Linked DNA regions of Mus musculus. The protein of the gene in region 4 purifies or fractionates together with the protein of the main gene of each other region. This does not show direct contact. Links are inferred from orthologs where the notes say so. Each region holds a gene or a part of one and is shown on either strand. Other genes may lie near its edges.

The links.
Region 1: the proteins of Zzz3 (region 4) and Yeats2 purify together in Homo sapiens (affinity purification with mass spectrometry; 3 studies listed by BioGRID, with this or other methods). This does not show direct contact. The link is inferred for Mus musculus from reciprocal best matches to the Homo sapiens genes ZZZ3 and YEATS2.
Region 2: the proteins of Zzz3 (region 4) and Kat14 purify together in Homo sapiens (affinity purification with mass spectrometry; 4 studies listed by BioGRID and IntAct, with this or other methods). This does not show direct contact. The link is inferred for Mus musculus from reciprocal best matches to the Homo sapiens genes ZZZ3 and KAT14.
Region 3: the proteins of Zzz3 (region 4) and Tada2a purify together in Homo sapiens (affinity purification with mass spectrometry; 4 studies listed by BioGRID and IntAct, with this or other methods). This does not show direct contact. The link is inferred for Mus musculus from reciprocal best matches to the Homo sapiens genes ZZZ3 and TADA2A.

What each region holds. Positions count from the first base shown.
Region 1 is NC_000082.6:20,147,323-20,151,795, reverse strand, and holds part of Yeats2 (YEATS domain-containing protein 2), read right to left. Parts: intron 1,355-4,473; 5' UTR 1,336-1,354; coding exon 1,236-1,335; intron 1-1,235. UniProt on the Homo sapiens protein: Chromatin reader component of the ATAC complex, a complex with histone acetyltransferase activity on histones H3 and H4. YEATS2 specifically recognizes and binds histone H3 crotonylated at 'Lys-27' (H3K27cr).
Region 2 is NC_000068.7:144,366,833-144,372,052, forward strand, and holds the start of Kat14 (cysteine-rich protein 2-binding protein), read left to right. Parts: upstream 1-2,202; 5' UTR 2,203-2,229; coding exon of another isoform or gene 2,230-2,325; intron 2,326-5,220. Other genes in the region: protein PET117 homolog, mitochondrial precursor, read left to right, coding at 2,230-2,325. UniProt on the Homo sapiens protein: Component of the ATAC complex, a complex with histone acetyltransferase activity on histones H3 and H4. May function as a scaffold for the ATAC complex to promote ATAC complex stability. Has also weak histone acetyltransferase activity toward histone H4.
Region 3 is NC_000077.6:84,126,142-84,131,377, forward strand, and holds the start of Tada2a (transcriptional adapter 2-alpha), read right to left. Parts: upstream 3,428-5,236; 5' UTR 3,396-3,427; intron 955-3,395; 5' UTR 872-954; coding exon 847-871; intron 1-846. UniProt on the Homo sapiens protein: Component of the ATAC complex, a complex with histone acetyltransferase activity on histones H3 and H4. Required for the function of some acidic activation domains, which activate transcription from a distant site. Binds double-stranded DNA.
Region 4 is NC_000069.6:152,451,260-152,455,732, reverse strand, and holds part of Zzz3 (ZZ-type zinc finger-containing protein 3), read right to left. Parts: intron 4,431-4,473; coding exon 4,335-4,430; intron 3,743-4,334; coding exon 3,590-3,742; intron 1-3,589.

The DNA.
Region 1 (4,473 bases), on a different chromosome or scaffold from region 4:
CCAGCCAAACTCTAAAAGCATGAGTCAAGAGAAATCTCTCCTCCTTTGACATTTACTAGCTAACACCCAAGTGAAACATTTAATGAGGACAACTAACACTTGAAAGTAATGTTATCCTATTTAAGCAACAGTATCCATGAAACAACTTGGTCATTTTTATTTCTATATACATAAAAATAATATGAAGCTATATTAAAAACCTTTATTACATACAATCACCTCACATGGTTATTCCATATTACAGAGACATCAAAAAACTTTGATTTTATATTATTATTTTTAAAGATTTATTTCAGTTTTAATTATATGTTTATGTGTGTGAGTGCAGATGCCCATGGAGACCAAAGAAGGCATCTACTTCCCTGGAGCCAGAGTTACAGGTTACTGTGACCTACCTGACATGGATGCTGGGAACCAAACTTGGATCCTCTGCAAGAGCACTGAACTTGGGAGCTAGAGTGAGGGCTCAGCTGTCAGGAGCACTGGCTACTCTTGCAGAGGAAACAGGTTTGACTCCTAACACTCACATTGGAACTAATAATCTCTTGCAACTCCAGTTTCAGAGGCTCCAACACCTGGGCTCTTTTGGGCTACACAAGAAATGCATGTGCATGGTGCATAAACACTTATATACATAAAATTACCAAGAAAAAAAAAAGGCTAGTTGGTAGCAGCACAGGCCTTTAATCCCAGTTCCCAGGAGTTCAAGGCCAGCATGGTCTACAGGGTGGGTTCCAGGGCAGCCAAGGCTACACAGAGAAACCCCGTCTCAAAACAAAACACTGAACACAATGGCAGATACCTTTAATCTGATACCCAGGAGGCAGAGGCAGGTGGGACGATGTAAGTTCAGGCCAGCCTGATCTAGAGTTAGTTCTAGAACAGTCAGAACTACATAACAGAGACCTTCTCTCAAAACCAAAAAGGGGGGAAAATCTTTAAGAAATAAAAAGACTGGAATGCACTTTTGACCACTGAGCCATCTCTCCAGTTGCCAACATTCTGATTTTAGCTATATTGCAACAATAGCTAAGATTTACAGCTTACTTTAATCATGTTCCTGCCAGATCCCCTCCCTTGTATGTGACACATGGTGAACTGCACAGAGCACTAGGCTAACCCTTCAAATATCCTTCAGCTTATATATGATTGTAGATATTCATGTAGATTTTATAAACCCTTATGCACAGGCAAATGTCAGCAAAGTTAAGTCTCAAAAGCAACTCGACGGCTACCTGAACTCTCAATCGCTTTATGCCGCTTATTTGGAAGGGCCACAGATACATCCTCATAATCAGGGTCAGTTTCTTTGATTGTTCGCTTGATTCCAGACATGGTGAAATTCAATTCTTCACTGTGAAGCAATAACAAACACATTAATAGTACTATTATGAAATACTAGCATGTATAAATGTTTATGTATACACACAAAGGTAATAAACAAACACTACAAAATATTGGTACTTATTCTGTGTAAGTCTGTGCATATATAGGCTGAATATGACTGGTCTGAAAAGATCCAGAAATCTTTCAACCTTGGGAGAGTTTAGATTTTCTCGTTAGGGATGCCTAACTCTCAGTGTTGTGTGTACTTAGCCAACAACATTAAGTCAAAAGCATTATCAGCATGGCTATTGTTAAAAACTCTGAATTTCCCTTCCAGGGGAAAATTCCTTAACAATGTTGTACACTGCTCTGCTGCTTCTCACATTTCCTCCTATTTTTAATTTTTAATTTTTTTTTTTTTTTGAGACAGGGTTAATCATCCCTGGCTGCCTTGAAGCTCAAAGAAGACCAGAGTGACCTTGAACTCAGGGATGTTTTAAATGCATACATGATCATGCCTGGCCCTGCTCATACTTTTCAAAAGAACTCTAGCTTTCACAAAAGGATATGAGAATAAACCAGAGTTTGATGAAAGTAATGTTAAGCTTTCAGTGCTGTGTAATTCACAAAGTTTTTAAGCACATCTCAAAGCATGACTAGTATAGCTCAGGGCTCATTCTAATATGCAAACTCCAGTTCCATTACTTCTTCAGTGCTTGCTATAGTGGGTACTCAATAAAACTATCCCTGATCTTCTAGTATTACTTATAACAAATGTAACTGTGTACTTAATGGCTAAACTAATGACTAACTTTGCAATATGGTAAATTAGCCAGACTTACATATAAAACAATCCCATGAATCCTCTAATTTCACAATGTCTCATACATTAGCCACTAACCACATGTGGCTACTTAAACTAAATTGATTAAAATTAAATAAAGTGGGTCTGGATTGGTCAGCAGCTAAGAGCACTGGTTGCTCTTCCAGGGAATCTGAGTTGGAGTCCCAGCACACACATGGTGACACAAAACCTTCAGTTCCAGGGGCTCTGACTCCCTCTTCTGACCTCCATAGGCACCAGGCATGCATGTGGTTCAGACACATGCAGGCAAACCATCTAGACACATAATATAAAATTAAATACATAAATAAAGTAATTAAATTAAGTATAAAATTCAGTTCCTTTTTTTTTTTTTTTTTTTTTTTGCCATAGTCAACTCTTGACAGCGAATTCCCAGTGTTCAATAGCCAGCAGTAAGCAGTTACTGTTACGGTGTATTTATATATAATAAATAAATAAATCTTTAAAAAAAAAAAAGAACCTCAGCTCTTTGTTAAAAGAGCAAAACAACACAGAAAGCCTGCCATGGTGCCTCTAATTACAACACTTGGGAGTAGAGGAATTTAATGTCAGCCTCAGCAACATATCAAGTTCGAGGCCAACCTAAGTTGTAGGAGACCTGTCTTAAATACCAAGAGGGACTGAAGAGGTGGCTGAGAATCCTGCCTGCTCTTCCAAGGACCTGAGTCTGACTCCCAGCACCCACATGATGATGTGCAACTGTATGCAGCTCCAGGTCCCGAAGATCGAAGGCACCCAAAGAGCACAGAGCCATCATGTAGGCAAAACATTCATACACAGAAAATAACAATAATAACAATAAAATTAAACAGATAGCCAAGAGATCACTCAAGAGAACTGAATTAGTTTATCCCAGAGACAGTCACCTGATTCAGGTGACAGTAAGTCACTATACAGATACATAAAGCCTGGATGGTAACACTTAATTTCAAAATACTCCAAAAAGCATGCAGCATTTATAAGTACCCTATGTAAAGCCATGTAAAGTTGTTTCATAACCTTAAGTCACCTGCTGTAATTTATAACATAAGTATTTTTGGAAGGTCTGGAATCTAACTACTATTATTTTAAAGTTAGGAAAAAGTGGTGTGAGGTGGTAGGGTGCTCAGTAGGAGGGCGCTTGCCCAGCATGCATGAAGCTCTGGGTTCAATCTCCAGTACTACATTCAAACAAAGCAGGAGGTGGCAGACACCTGTGATCGCAGGCTGGAGGAAAGGTCATCCTGGGTTACACAGCGAGTTCAAAGTCAGCCTGAACTCCATGAGAACCTCACAAAGGAAGTCACACAGAAGCTGTTTCTTCTTTTGTTTGTGATTAATTTTGAGAGTATCTTGGTAATGGAAAAAACCAAAACGAGCAAAAATAAACAAACAAAAAAATCTATATGGCCAATTTATTTTCACTAGGTATAAATGTGTGTGTATGTGACAAGAGTTTCCTGGAAATGGAGCTGGACAGGTAAGGGCTGGAAATTGAACCCTAGTCCTCTGGAAGAACAGCCAATACTTTTAACTGTTAAGCCACCTCTCCAGCTCCTAGTTTCTTACAAGAAAGACCAAACAATAACACCCAAAAGATCCTCTACCTGCAGGGATCAATACATCCCAGCAGACCTTCATATCCGCTCCTGAGCCACACCATTTCCCCAGAGGTGGCCAAACTCTGGAGAGTGTGCCAAAAGTCTTAGGGCATTATCTGTAAATGTGAGACCAGGAGGAGTGTCATCTTCACCTATCTATGGAATCCATAGTGTGAGTGTCCTGTCCATCACAAATAATCACAAGAATAATCCTGCCCAGAAAGATGTAGTAAGAGGGAAGGAAGGTTCATGGAAAACCAACTAGTGTTATTTTATTCTCACTCAAAGGAACGCAAAACTGAGGACAAGAAGGGAGAAGTGAACGGTCTGAGTGAGGACAGGTAAGGAAGAAACCATCAACATACTGATGTATGCAAGGTCATTTATTACATTAAGAACTTGCAACGAAGCTTCCTCTGTCATTTCAAACGATATTTAAGTTTTAGCTAAACATACTAAGGAAGAGGTGGCAACCATCCTGAGAGGTTTAGAATAATTCAGGTCTGTTTCTGCCTAGGAAAACCATGTCAGCAAAGGTTAGGCACATTTGCAGAGGCATATTCCCTTACACGGGACTGTAACTGTATGATATTATATTTTGGATTTATGGAAAGGAAACACTGGGTTTTTTGCTTTGGTTTGTTTTTGAGCAAGGTCTCAATATGTAGCCCTGGGTGGCTTAGAACTCTTAAATCTGCCTGC
Region 2 (5,220 bases), on a different chromosome or scaffold from region 4:
TAAACTATTTTCTTTAATTACAGTGCCCACTCCTAAAAATACACCCAAACTAGATGTTCTAGCAACTATTTTAAAGTAAATAAATAAGTTGCTTTTCAGGATCTGATGGCACACAGTCATTCAGCTACTAAGGTAAGTAATAATAATTATAAAAAACATCTTGCTTTGGTTTGTAATCATTGGCCTACACTTTAGACACAACACTTACAGCTGCCTCCTCCTCCTCCTCCTCTTGAGACATTGTTTCTGTGTGTAGTCCTGGCCATCCTGGAACTAGCTCTGTAGACGAGGCTGGCCTCGAACTCAGAGTTCTGCCTACCTCTGCTTCCCCAGGGCTGGGATTAAAGGTGTATACCACAACTGCCTAGCATAAGAGATTTTTAAAAACAAAATACATTTAAAGAAGACAAATTGGAAAATTAATCACAATAGAATGCATGGTCATTTATACTTCTGGTGTCATTCCAAGGCCATTCATAGCTGTTACACTCGCTGATTTACTGGATGAAAAGTCTGGGGTTATCATAAATAAAAAGTATTGTGGCATGATTTTTCCTTAGGGAAATATGCAAAAATAACTTGAATCTCTTCTCATTCTAAAAGTCACTGGTCCCAAACTCTATTTTCACATTCAAAGATATAACCTGGGCTGGTGAGATGGTTCAACAGGTAAGAGCACTGACTGCTCTTCCAAAGGTCCTATGTTCAAATCCCAGAAACCACATGGTGGCTCACAACCACACGAAATGAGATCTGATATCCTTTTCTGGTGTGTATAATAATAAATAAATCTTTGTGCTGGCGCAAGCAGAGGTCCTAAATTCAATTTCCAACAACCACATGAAGGTTCACAACCATCTGTACAGCTACAGTGTATTCATATACATAAAATAAATCTTTAAAAATAAATAAACCTAGATTCTTTAAAAAATAAATTAAAGTCGGGCGTGGTGTCGCATGCCTTTAATCCCAGCACTCAGGAGGCAGAGGCAGGCGGATTTCTGAGTTTGAGGCCAGCCTGGTCTACAAAGTGAGTTCCAGGACAGTCAGGGCTACACAGAGAAGCCCTGTCAAAACAAACAAACAAAGAAACAAACAAAAAACACCAAAAAAATTAATTAAAAAAAAAAAACCAAAGATATAACCAATGCAGTATGCTAACTGTTCATAATAGTATTTTCTTCATGCCGTTTGGGTTCACTTAACAGAGAACGAAAGAGCAAAGCATACTGAGACGAAGTGAATGTTGGGGAAACACTGGGAATACCTAATCAAGGCCTGAATGAGCCTTATCATTGTTGTCTATCGGTTTTCAGCAGCAGCTTTGAATGTGTACTTTCCTGGGTAAGAGTGATTTACTGATATGCCATTCTTCATTGGCATCACAAATACTTAAAAGTTCTGGGAAGCCAAGTCTCTTTTTTAATTTAAGGGGTAAGTGCAAATGACACCATCCTTAGCCTCTTGTGAACTACTCTGACACAAGGATCTTACAAGCATTCCTGAAAGGCTCCAAGGGCATCAACGACATTTTTTTTTTCTTTTGGTTTTTTGAGACAGGGTTTCTCTGTATAGCCCTGGTTGTCCTGGAACTCACTTTGTAGACCAGGCAGGACTCGAACTCAGAAATCCGCCTGCCTCTGCCTCGGGAGTGGTGGGATTAAAGGCGTGAGCCACCACGCCGGGCAACGCCATTTCTTAAGATTACAGGAGCTAAACATGTCCGGATCCTTGCCTGACCCAGTGCATTTCCCAACAGAAGTTTAGTAGGCAACAAGGTGTAGCCGAGGCTGAGGCAGGATTGCGAGTTTGAAGCTAGTTTGAGCTGCACAGCAATACCTTGTCAAAAAACCAACCACCCAGCTTTTAGACTCTAAGAAAATTTAGGGTCTGATCAGTCGCCCCATAGCGACCAGATGTCCTCCGTACATACTCCACTGGCACTCCCAACCCCACCCTCGCGACTCCAAAGCAGCCCAGCACTGCGACTTCCTGGTGAAGGCGGTCCCCAAATAGGAAAGCCAGGGCCCCAGGCAGCCACTCCCAAGAAGCAGCGAAGCGGGCCAGGGGTTACGCTCGGCGCTCGATTGCTAGAGCCTGGCGACGATAGCACTTGCAACGGCTCTGCGCTCGAGAGGTCGAGCCTGGCCCGTTGCGGCTGCGGCGGCGGCGGCGGCTGTGGCGGCGGCGGGGGCGGGCGCGGGAGCGAGTCCGCGGCCGGGAGCGGGAATGTCGAGGAGTTCGAAGGCAGTGCTGGGCCTCTCGGTGCTGCTGACGGCGGCCACGGTGGCCGGCGTGCATCTGAAGCAGCGGCAGGACCGGCAGGTCGGTGTCACGTGACCGCGTCTTCCGGGGCGCCGAGCCCGCAGCTGTCCCTGCGCGCGTGGCGGGCCGGGCGGGCTGCAAGGGCGCGTTCAGGACGCCGACTTCTCTCCCCCAGCCACGAGGCGGGAGACTGGGGCGGAAGCCTCGGGGCAGGGGTGTAGTCCAGAGTTAGAGAGTTGCTAGGGTGAGCTCGAGGCCCTGGGGGCAGCACAGCCCACAAAGCCTTACCCAGGAATTGTTAAATCCGGAGATAAAGCAGCTCACACCCAGCACACCCCCCAGTGCCTTTGGCTAAAGAAACTTGAGATTTTTGCAACTTGCATTAACAAAACATTTTGCTACTGGACTTAGGTTCTGGAAAGGATAAAAGGTAGCGAGCGCCCTTCACGTTTTCTTTTAATGGCTTTCTTTCGGAGAATAACTGGCTTATTAATCAGCGACTAACCGACTCTTCCTCATTCCAGTTTGCAACGCTGGCTAGTGCGCTGAGCACACTGAGAACACATAGTTAATTATAACCTCTCGAGATTGTTCTTTTTATAATGGTGCCACACTGTGCTGGCCAGTACTTGGTATTTGCCCTTTCAAGCAATACCTTTACAGTTATTTGGTTTGAATCGGATTTGCCATGGGCAGAAGTTACTGAAAGCCTCAAGAGTCACCAGACCATCGACCTTTGTATTCACAAACTAGGAATTGCAATGAAACTAGGCTTGCAAATTCAGAACCATTTTGAGGAGCAGGGTCGATGTGCAGTGATGGAGAAGCACACAAGGAATTAAAGATTTGGGATTAAAATATGGTTCCCCAGGGATATCTTCTGGAGTAGAAGCAAGAAACTTCCTTCTTGGGAGGAAAAGGAAAAGATGGTGGTTCTAATTAAACTTGGAAGACAGGGTGTCTGTGTCCTCCTGATGTGTTTTGGAGACAGCGTTTGCTATCAGTTTTGTTTCAAACTCTGTTCCCCTGAGAAGTTTTTACAGTATGAGCAGACCAATTAAATCAGATCTCTGGAGCATGGAGACTCAGCTGTGTTCCAAAAGGCACGCCAAAGGCTTTAATGAAACGGTTGAGAATCACAGTTAGAGAATGGAAGTGTGCAAAGATCTAGTTATTTCTTGGAAGTTAGTGACCAAGACATACTGACCAAAATAAGCTGTCCAGTAGCTATTCATTAGCGACTTACTGTAACATCGAGGAAGGTAGATGTCTTGAAAACTTCAAGGTGGCAGTAAAGGAAATAATGGCTTGTTTTCTGTCTACCCACACCAGACACAGTGTTTTTCACTTTACAGACATTGTCTTTAACTCTCAAAGGAACTTAGTAGACATCAATTACAGATGGTTCCTAACTTAAAGATGGTTAACTTGGTTTTATGTATGTGTTTGGGTGTTTTTTTTTTAAAGATTTATTTATTTATTATATGTAAGTACACTGTAGCTGTCTTCAGACACTCCAGAAGAGGGTGTCAGATCTTGTTACAGATGGTTGTGAGCCACCATGTGGTTGCTGGGATTTGAACTCAGGACCTTCGGAAGAGCAGTTAGTGCTTTTAACCACTGAGCCATCTCTCCAGCCCCGGTTAACTTGGTTTTTAGGAAAGCAGTATCGTTTGTATTTAGTGAAACTTTCTTTGAATATTGAATTTTGGTATTTTCCCAGGCTCAGGATCAATGGTAGGATTCTTTCAAAATGCCAGGCAGCAAAACAAACCTCAGACCCCAGGGAGCCCCGGAATGCTGATGTTCAGTGGTATCATGTCAGAACACCTTTATTATTTTCAGTTTATCATGAGGTTTTCCAGGTATGGTCCTATGGTAAGTTGAGGAGTGTTAATGATTCTACAGGAATCAAGGCTCCAGATGCTAGAGTTAGGTTAGTAAAGAGCTGTGTTAGTTAGGGTTTCCTATTGCTATGACAAAGCACCATGACTAAATGCACCTTGGGGTGGAAAGGGGTCAACTTCCAGCTCCATATCACAGTTCATCAATGAAAGCAATTGAGGTGATAATCTGGAAGTAGGAACTGAAGCAGAGGCTGTGAAAGAGCTGCTCACTGGCGGCTTATGTTAAGACAAAGTCTTTCTGTGTTGTCTTGGCTGGCTCAGAGCTCAGAGAGATCTGCCTGCTACTACCTCCTAAATTCTAGAACTAATGTACCACCATGCTGGACCTGAGCCCTCACTCTTACATTTCCCAACTCCACTGGTGTAGCAAATGTAGCTGTAGGCCTGGGAGAGGCTCAGTAAGAACTAGGTGAGTATTTATTTATTTATCTATTTATTTATTTATTTTGAGTAGACTTTATTGTAAAAACACAAACCCCTTGCAAATAAATAAAAACATCACACATCAAAATTAATGAGACTCAAAGTCTGTACAACTCAGTGAACTGCACAGTAAACGTTCACATGTGCTTTATTTATTTTTATTGTTTTATATTTAAGAGGGTTTGCATGCATGTGCGAGCACTCATGCATATCTGGTGCCTGTGGAGGTTAGACAAGGTCATCACATCCCTTTGGTCCAGAGTTACAGCCACTTGTGAGCCTCTGTGGAAACTGAAGTTATGTCATGCAAGAATGAGCACTTCTCTCCTGAGCCCTACCTCCAGCCCTTCTGTATGGTTAGGAGAGGTAGGTGTTCATTCAGAACGGAAGCTCTGGAGCTCCACTTTCAGTACTGAATTCGCTTTTATACACTTACCCACCACCAACCCCAAAAAACCCATGACAGATTTAGACCCAGAAAAACAATCAGCTTATATTCCCTTTCATAGTTTGTATCCATTCTCGTCCAGTCCTTCCTCATCTCCTTATATATAGCTTTTCTTGTTCTCTTTTCTTCATGATATGCTGTACCCACATGCACCTTCATTTCTGTATTTACAAATAA
Region 3 (5,236 bases), on a different chromosome or scaffold from region 4:
GGTCTTGAACTCACAAAGATCGCCTACCCTATGCCTCCTGAGTGCTGGGATTAAAGGAATGTGGCATGATGACAGGCCCTAACAATTGTTTTAAAGGGTGGGAATAGCAGGGAGGGAGTGGCCTTTAATCCTGGACTTGGGAGGCTGAGGCAGACATGTTACCAAGCAGAAGCCAGCCTGATCTACAGAGAGTTCCAGGACAGCTTCAGTTCCACAGAGAAACCTTGTCTTGAAAGACAAGAGGTGGGAATACTTTCAGTTTACACTTGGAACATTAGTCAGATGAAAATATAGAACTAGATGTGTCCAAGATTCTAACTTTCTGAATATACGGAGGGAAGATGCAGAGTGCCTCTGATACAACGACAGGAACCAAATCCTAACAACATACTTCTGGGTCTTACTAATGAACATCAACTTTATGACTGTGCGTGTGTGTATGTGTCTGTTGTGTGCACTGCCCAATTTTGTGATCTCTAATTTCTTTGAAATCCAATGATGGTACAAGCCTGAAATCCCAGCACTTGATGAATAAGTAGTTTAAGGTCATCCTTAGCTACAAAGCCAGTTCCAGGCCAGCCAGTCTACATGAGACCCTGGGCTCAAAATAAACACGTCTATTTCCTGATCAACCATATGGTGACTGGTTCACTCAGCTTGGCTTTTTTCTAAAGTGATGAAGCTGTGCCACATTCAGTAGGCAAACAACAGACCGGTCTTGCCTGACTTTACTTTTATGTGCTATTCCTAATTCCTTCAGGCATTATCAAAGGCGCTGCTTCCCTGATCAACCTCTACTTTAGGTGGCTATTTATTGTCACTTGAGACTTGTCCCACTGTACTTACTGCTAAAGGAACCCAAACGGTCCATCCTCTAGCTGACTGATGGCTGCTTGATCTCCCTTGATGTAGAGTTTCAAGACTTCAGACGTTGCCAAACAATCCCACGATCCCCTAAGAACAAAGAGAAGATGCACACAGATCAGAAACCAGTCCAAGGTATATTTTGGCAACCCGACACGGCAACTGTGTGGTTGCCAACCACAACACTCAGACCCCCCCCCTCGCTCACAGAATGTGAAGTGCAGCCTCCTTACAGAACCTGGAACTTGCTGGTATGGTGGTATTCACCTTTAATCCTAGTACCCAGGAAGCAAAAGAAAATAGGTCTCTGGTTCAAGACCAGCCTGGTCTACATGAAGAGTTCGGAGCCAGCTACATAGTGAGATCCTGTCTCAAAAAATAAATTGGATTTTATTACTGGAAACTAAGGAATCCTACCCAACATATGCGGATCAGTAACTTACTCCTTCAGACAGGAGGACTTCAATGTCATCCCTGGCTATCTTGGACTGCTTGAAACTCATGGTGGTGCACACCTTTGATCCCAGCACTCAGGAACCACAGACAGCCTACTCTACAGAGTGAGCTCTAGGACAGGCAGGCAGGGCAACATAGAGAGACCCTGTCTTAGAGGGGAAAAAGGAAAGAAAACCCAAGCCAAAACAAAGCAAATACCAATTTGGACAAATAAATGTTAGTTTTATAAAAGGCTAATTCAGCCGGGCAGTGGTGGCACATGCCTTTAATCCCAGCACTTGGGAGGCAGAGGCAAGTGGATTTCTGAGTTCAAGGCCAGCCTGGTCTACAGAGCTAGGACCACACAGAGAAACCCTGTCTCGGGCTGGAGAGATGGTTCAGTGGTTAAGAGCACTGACTGTTCTTCCGAAGGTCCTGAGTTCAAATCCCAGCAACCACATGGTGGCTCACAACCACCCATAATGAGATCTGACGCCCTCTCCTGGTGCATCTGAAGACAGCTACAGTGTACTCACATATAATAAAATAAAATAAATAAATCTTAAAAAAAAAAGAAACCCTGTCTCAGGGGGTGGGGGACAAACAAACAAACAAAACAAAAGGCTAATTCACCTTCATTTCTCCTGAAATAGATTTTTCTTTTTTTTTTTCCTTAAGATTTATTTATTTATTATCTGTAAGTACACTGTAGCTGCCTTCAGACACTCCAGAAGAGGGCGCTTGCTACGGATGGTCGTGAGCCACCACGTGGTTGCTGGGAATTGAACTCAGGACCTTCTGAAGAGCAGTCAGTGGTCTTAACCTCTGAGCCATCTCTCCAGCCCCCCCCCCTTTTGTTTTTAAAGATTTATTTATTTTATTTATATGAGTACATTGTAGCTGTCCTTAGACCCACCAGAAGGCATCAGATCCCATTACAGATGGCTGTGAGCCACCGTGTGGTTGCTGGGATTTGAACTCGGAACCTCTGGAAGCGCAGCCAGTGCTCTTAACCGCTGAGCCATCTCTCCAACCAAAATAGGTTTTTCACGTTGACATTTTTAGCTTGGGGACTGACATACAAAGTATATGCAATGCTTAGATAAGAAGGCTGAGGGTCAAACTTTAGGCTATTTTGGGTAGGGGTGAGTTTTTACTCTATTTCCAAGAAAAATGATCTTTGAAGAACGTTGTGGCTCAGTAGTTCAGTTGTAGGGTGTTTTAGCAAGGATGCTTTATATTCACACTCCAGCATCCATTGAGCAAACAAACCCAGTACTCCAGAGGTACAGACAGTACGATCAGTTCATGGAAACTCTTGGCTACATTAAGTTCAAGGTTAGCCCAAGATACATGAGGCTGACTAAAAAAAAAAATTAATTAAAAAAAAAATTAACAAAGGCATATGTCAGGTACTAAATGTAATCTTAGTACGGGGACTATATCTTGGAATCCTAACAATCTCCTGACATAGGCTGTTTTCCCCAAGAAAATGAAGCGCTAAAGATTGGGGTATTTGCACAATGTTTTTACAGCCTGGTGAACAGCAGGGCTCTATCAAGACCTTTACAGTGGCAAAGATTCTACAGTACGTTCTGACAAACACTTCACATTGCAAAGCACAATGCTGCAGAAAGCAAAATCCTCCTTCCTCTCCTTCCTTAGAAGACCACGCAGTGACACTAACATCCTTGAGAGATGGGCTACATTTAAATTAATTACAAGAGGGATCAGGGAAGGCATGGAGGGGCAGGATCCCATGAGCACAGGGGAGCCGCGGGCTTGGCAGTTGTGCAGTTAACATCCTTAGAGCTGCACGGTCTTGGGCAGGTCACTGTAGCCGGGCCTCGACCGCAAAACAGTGCTAAACACTGGGGCGCGGAGACCCACGTGGGGGTTCGGCGGGTCAGGTGGGCCGGGGCCGTGCTCCACCGCCCAGCCGGGAATACGGAGCTGCGGCACCGCCAGCCGCCGGGGGGAGGGGCTCGGGACTCGCCCGGCCGCGCCAACCTCCCCCGCCGCGTGGCCCCGCCGCGCCAGCCGGCACCTCGTGACCCCGCGTGCCCTCGCTCCCGCCGCTCGGCCCCGCGCCTCACCTCGCCACGTCCCGCACCTCGGCGCCGAAGAGCCCGCCGCTGCGCGCGCTGTGCAGACTCTGCGTGCGCGCCGCGGCCTGCGTGCGCGGCCTCGACTCACGTGCGCGGTCCCGTGCCGCGAGCACGCCGAGGCGGTCCCGCCTCCTCCAGTCTGGCAGCGGGCGGGTCCCGGTGGCGCCGCCCCGGGATGGGGAGCGTGGTACCTGGCTGCTAGTCGGTGGGCTCTGAAGTCTGACCTGCTGTCACTTTCTCCGTCGCCACAAGCGGCCCGGTGGCATGTGCTAAGGCGGCTTCCGCTGTTTCAGTCTAGATTTTTTTCTTAACAGTCCCATTCCAATTCTTTTGCAAGCAAAGAAACTGAGGCTGCCCAGGCTCTGGACTGGAGGATGACGAGCCCCGGGCGCATCATGCCACTCATGGATTACCCGGACTGAATGACTTGAGGGGTGAAGAGGGTCCTTTTTATTCTGATGCTTCTGGGACGTCGAAATTGCCTTCTCTGGAAAGACCCATCCCCTGCCTGGGCTTCAGAGGCCCACATGGAAACGCAGTGATGATGTGGTGGTCCACTCTGATGTCACTCTTGAGGGCTAGGTATGTCCCAACATCTCTTATTACTAATAGTATAGATTCTTATAAGAGCTTCCATTTGTGGAGTCCTTCAATACTGCATGCCAGGCATTGTACAAAGCGGGTTACACATAAGGGTTCGTCTAAAACAACTTTCTGAGGGAGGCACTGTTACTGTCCTCATGGTCCAGCATTGAAATATATAACTTAGGATCACAGTGCTACCAAGTGTTGGGGAAGAGCTCTATTCCAACCCATGGCTTGATCTTAACTATTATGCTGTATATCTATTTAAAAATCTGTTTCATAGATTTGCCCAATTTCTGTTGGAATTCATTTATACGATATCTGCCCGTGTGGCATCTTGATTTGTTTTTTGGTACACAGGTAATATAAGTCTATTGTTAAAATAAAAATAAAATCTGCAGCTGGGTGCAATTAGTGGCTCACATCTGTGATCTCAACACTTGGAGAGTGCAGGACAATTGCTTTGAGATTGAGATCAATCTGGGCTACAGAGTAAGAGATCTGTCTCAAAAAAAAAAAGAGTAGTAAAGAAAAAACATTAAAAATTCACATGTGAAAGTCATCCCCACCACGTTAAATAAACAGTTGATGCTATAGAGTACTTCACATTTACTGACTCTCCAAATCCATTCATTTCACAAAAGCACAACGAACAGCCACTTCCCTGGGTGCTGAGAATTTGGTAGTGAGCGAAGTATATGCTCTTGCACATAAGGTTTGTGTATTTTATATATAAGCAATAAAATATAAGTATGTTGCATATTAATATATAAGTAACAAATATTTTTAAATGCCTCATAATGTGGTTTTATGGGAAATAAATCAGGATCCAGATATAACAGTGATAGATTTTCTTTTAGTCAGGATAGGGAAGAAAGGCTTCCTAGCAGACATAACACACAAGAGGAAATCCAATTATTGAATGAGAAACAGAAGCTTCCAGATTTCTAGAGAGAACCATAGATGAGACTCAGCAGGTACGGTGGCCCTGGTGCGTGGCTTTGATAGGCATGGAGAAGAAGAAGCAAGAAGGTCAGAGTGGCTGGAGCAGATCCAAGTAAAGAGATTTGATGGAAAACAGCCTGGACCCAGGTCCCACATCACTTGGTAAACTTTGGTTGGATTTTTTTATTTCACTGGGATATGATAGAATTCCATGAAGGGTAGACATCAATGTATTTAAGAAAAGAATAGTGGCTCATGCCTGTAATGCCAGCACACAGGAGGTCAGCCTACGCAAAAAA
Region 4 (4,473 bases):
CATTTATTACTTTGAAGACGCTAGTACTTTTTGGTGTGTGAGCTCACCACATCAGCTAGAGTGGCTGGCTGACAGCTCCTTTCTGTGTCTGCTTCCCCTGCACTGAGTTTACAGGCATGCATCATGCTCACATTTTCACATGGGTGCTGGGAGCCCATTCAAGTCCTCGTGCCACGCAGCAAGCACATTACAAACTGACCCATCTTTTCAGCCCACCCTTCAATTTTACAGGACTTTCACTACTGTTCTAAGGCTCAGATGAGCTACAGTGCCTCACAGTGTAAGGGATATGCAGTGACTCGGCCTGACATACAGTCTCAAAACCTACTGTCACCATTGCTGCTTCAGAAACCTCACCCTGACCTCTCCCTGCTCTAACAGTTTTCACACCTGCCTCTGTAAACATGGTAATTTTTTTTTGAACAAGCAAAAAAATCTCTGCCCTTGTTGTATACTCTGCATTTGTAATAGCTGATCAAGACAGTACACTTTTCACTATTTAGGAAACACTGTGGACTATATAAATACTTCAAAAGGTTCATAGAACACTGACTTCAAGATGTAAAATTCAGTACTGATTTCCCCAACTCTACAACTGACCGGCAATTTCATTGCAACAGTGACTGACAATGAAGACCACTCACTATGCTGGGCAAGGCGAAGACTCTCCTAGTGTCCGATCGTCTGTTTGCCAGCTCTCTGCTCTCAGTTCCACTACAGTGATCTTACCTCCAACCTTTCTCTGGCTCCTACTCCAAAAGCCACACCCTTGACCCACAGTAATATCTGCTCCCAAACAGCACATAAGTCTCTCACAATGCCGCTTTCCATTTCTCTTGTGAGGTCTCACCTCATCCTGGTTTCCAAAAGCCTACTGAGATATCTAATCACTATCCTGGTTTTGTATCTGCCCAGTCTTGCCCTGCTACCTAGGATCCTTTGCATCCTAATGATTGACCCCATGGTTACAAGTTTCCTAAATGCACCATGAATCCAATGCCCAAGATCCATGAATTCTCAATCCTGGACAAGATAAAAATCTCATCTCCCTCAGCCACTGTCAGATCAGTTGTTATTAACTACTATTCTTTGCTTCACATTAAGGAAATGGATGCTTATAGAACTTGTAAGGACTGCTCCAGAGCATACAATTAATTAGTGAAATTAATTAACTAGTGGATGACTTGAACCCTCATTTCACGATACACCCGGCTGCCCAAGACATAAATATCCTGCATTATCTAACTGATTCTGTCAAGACTCAAGTCTGTTAACTAGTACTACAGCTTTGAATATAGGTAGGAGTCAGGTTCAAGGTCTTCAACTGCATAGAAGCTTCTGCAGTTCCCGCTCCACCAGCATCTTTCCTCCATTTCACAGTTCTGCAACTGCTATAAAGTCTCCACATTTGTAGTACAGATGGGTTAGCTCCATAGACGCAGAAAGATCCTACAGATATGGAAGCCACCTGCGTGTTTACTTTGTCAAATCTGTCCAGACAAAATGAAGGATGGTGGGTACGAACAAGGAGCTGGAAGAATGCTGTCGACATGGTTTCAGGTAGTGGAGCGGGGAAGATCTGAGACTGTACTTTAACACAAATGACTTATTAACATAGTTTTCTAAGTTATACTATCTCAAATGTTACCTAAAAAAGGAACAACTTTCAAATAAGGCTAAGGTGGAATACAGATTTTTCAAACTAAGGAATAAATTATGCATATTTAATTTCTCTAGCTGCTGCATCTCTGGAAAGAGAAACCTATACATGTTATCAAGACTCATAAATATATTCTTAAACAGCTCTGTGGATCAGAAAGGCATGACGATACATACTTTTAATTCTAGATTTAAGGATGTTGACGTAGAATTATCATTTCAAGACGTTCCTAGGCTACACAGAGGGACTGTCTCCCAAAACAGTAATCAATATGATTTGTATTAGTACTGTTTAAAAATAAATAATACCAACAAAAAGTTAAATCTAACTTAACTTATTACATTATTTCGTCAACTTTTAAAAAAATTTTGTAGTAGGAATTAAAGCCAGGGCCTTGCATACACTTGGTAAGTGGCTACCACTGAGTGCTTGTTTTAAATGTTCTGCCACCCCTTTCACATGGCTTATATATATATATATATATATGTGTGTGTGTGTGTGTGTATATATATATATATATATATATATATATATATATATATTTTTTTTTTTTTTTTTACTTTTACACTTTACATCCTCTCCCAGTCATACCCTCCCCCGCCCAGACACAATCCTTCCCCTATCCCACCCCCCCACTCCCCCCCCCCCCCCCCCGCCTCTTCTCTGAGCAGGTGGGGAACTCCCTGGGTATCCCCCTACTCTGGCCCTTCAAGTCTCTGTGACTTCCTCTCAGACAAAGTGTCTCGGCTAGAATATATCTCACATACAGGCTACAACTTTTGGGAAAGATCCCATTCCAGCTGTTGGGAACCCACAGGAAGACCAAGCTGTACATCCTCTACATATGTGTGGGGAGGCCTAGGACACGAGAGATGGCTAGATACCAAGAAAATAAATGGAAATTAGCAATGATGGGGTGAAGGGGGGCATCTTCAGGACGAGCCAGAGACCTGGCATAAGGGAGGCCATCGAGAATCAATGGGGGTGACCTTAGCTGTGACTCACATGGCACCATCGTCACTAACACTTTTCTCTTAAACGTTCTCTCTAAACTAAGTATCTCTCTTAAATGACTATGAAGGCTCCTTTTATTCCTTTGAAGGACTTTAACAAATATTTATCAACGTGATCAATAAACAAGCCCAAGATCTAGAAGAACAAAGACGTATGTATTTTTACAACTCCTTATCAAACTCCCAGCACAGCCTATTACGTAACATGTTTAGGTAAGTATTTCTTCAAACGAGTCATTCTAACAATCACAAAGTACAAAATCACACACACAAGCTGTAATTTAAAGACTAGGCATTTCCATAGGAAAAATTTTACAGTGACTACATAGTTATCTAAGAGAAAGGAGTATCTTTTCTTGCCAACTATCATTAAAATCTCCTGCTCTGATTCTATGCAATCAGAGTATTAGTATATATTGTTCAAGCAAGGAATCAACCACTTTACAGAAACTTCAGAGCAGAAGAGTGAGTTAAATGACACAAAGGACTCAGTCCTTGCAACACACACTGTAGCACATCAGTTGGTAGAGTGCTTGCTAGTGTGCACAGGGCCCTGAGTGAGAGCGAGCAAATATTCTACTCCATGTGAAGTTACCTTCTCAGAAACCTCAATTTGGTGTTTGGAACTCCCTCCAAAATAACTTGAAGCAGAACCGGGTAAGAAGATGTGTAAACTATGGCCTGGTGACAATCACAGAAGCTCAGTAACGGATCCCGGTTCACCGGGCTACTCTGCCTTCTTATGCCTATGCTGAATTTTCCACAAAAGAATACTTAAAGTTCATTAACTCTATATTAACTCTAAGCTGTGAGTTAAAGGGGACATGTCAGCACCCCCTGAAGAGTGGGGATAATCGGAGAGTTATTTACTGTGTATTGTTCAGTCATCTGTATAAAAACCAGGCAAGTAACTTACTGAGGCCTCCTCAGCAGCAGTGCTCATGTGGCTATGGAGACAGGACCGGTCATCATCTTCATCCATGTACACCGGTGGCTCATGTGAAGTCATGAAAGTGGAAGGTTTAAAGAGGTGCTTATTAAGGGGGTGCTGTCGCCTGCTTGTTGAGGACTAGAGGAGAAAACAAGTGTTTTACTGGGACAGTGGAAAATCGTTAACAGAATCAAAAGTACAAAACCATACATATACCCCACCATTTACGAGCATTCAATGCTGGCTACACTCAACTCTTATGATAAACTTTTACTGAAAAATCAAAGAAAATAAAATGATCTAAGCCAGACAATAACTACGGGGGGGGGGGGGGGGCGCTCTCGAGAGAGAGAGAGAAAGAGAGAGAAGTTTCCATACTACCTGAGTGTATAAACAATCACCTAACATGGAGCGACTACTTGCTTTATGCATTATCACTTAATCCTTGCAACTGGGAGCTACACAATTATAAGCGTGAGGAGGTGGAGTTCCAAGGTGAGGGCAGTGGTGGAATTGGATTACATCTATGTGGTGGCACAACCCTCATAGCAGCCGCTCATACAGACACCACTCGTGACCAGTGCACACCAGACACAGAAAGAGCCACTGGTTCATGTACAGCCTACAGAGAAATGGCAAGCACAAGGGGAGCACAGCTTAACAAACTCACGCGCTCAGCACTTCTGAGCTCAGCGACCCTCGCTGAGGTCTGGCCGTGTGGACTGCTTACCTTTCTGGAGTATATATATAAGTTAGGTGTTCTGCCTGGAACTGGTATGCCGGCTTTCGTTAGCTTTATGAAGTACTTCTGTACACGACTGGCGACCTAAAGAAACATGACGGCTCTTTCAACATAATGAAATAATCTG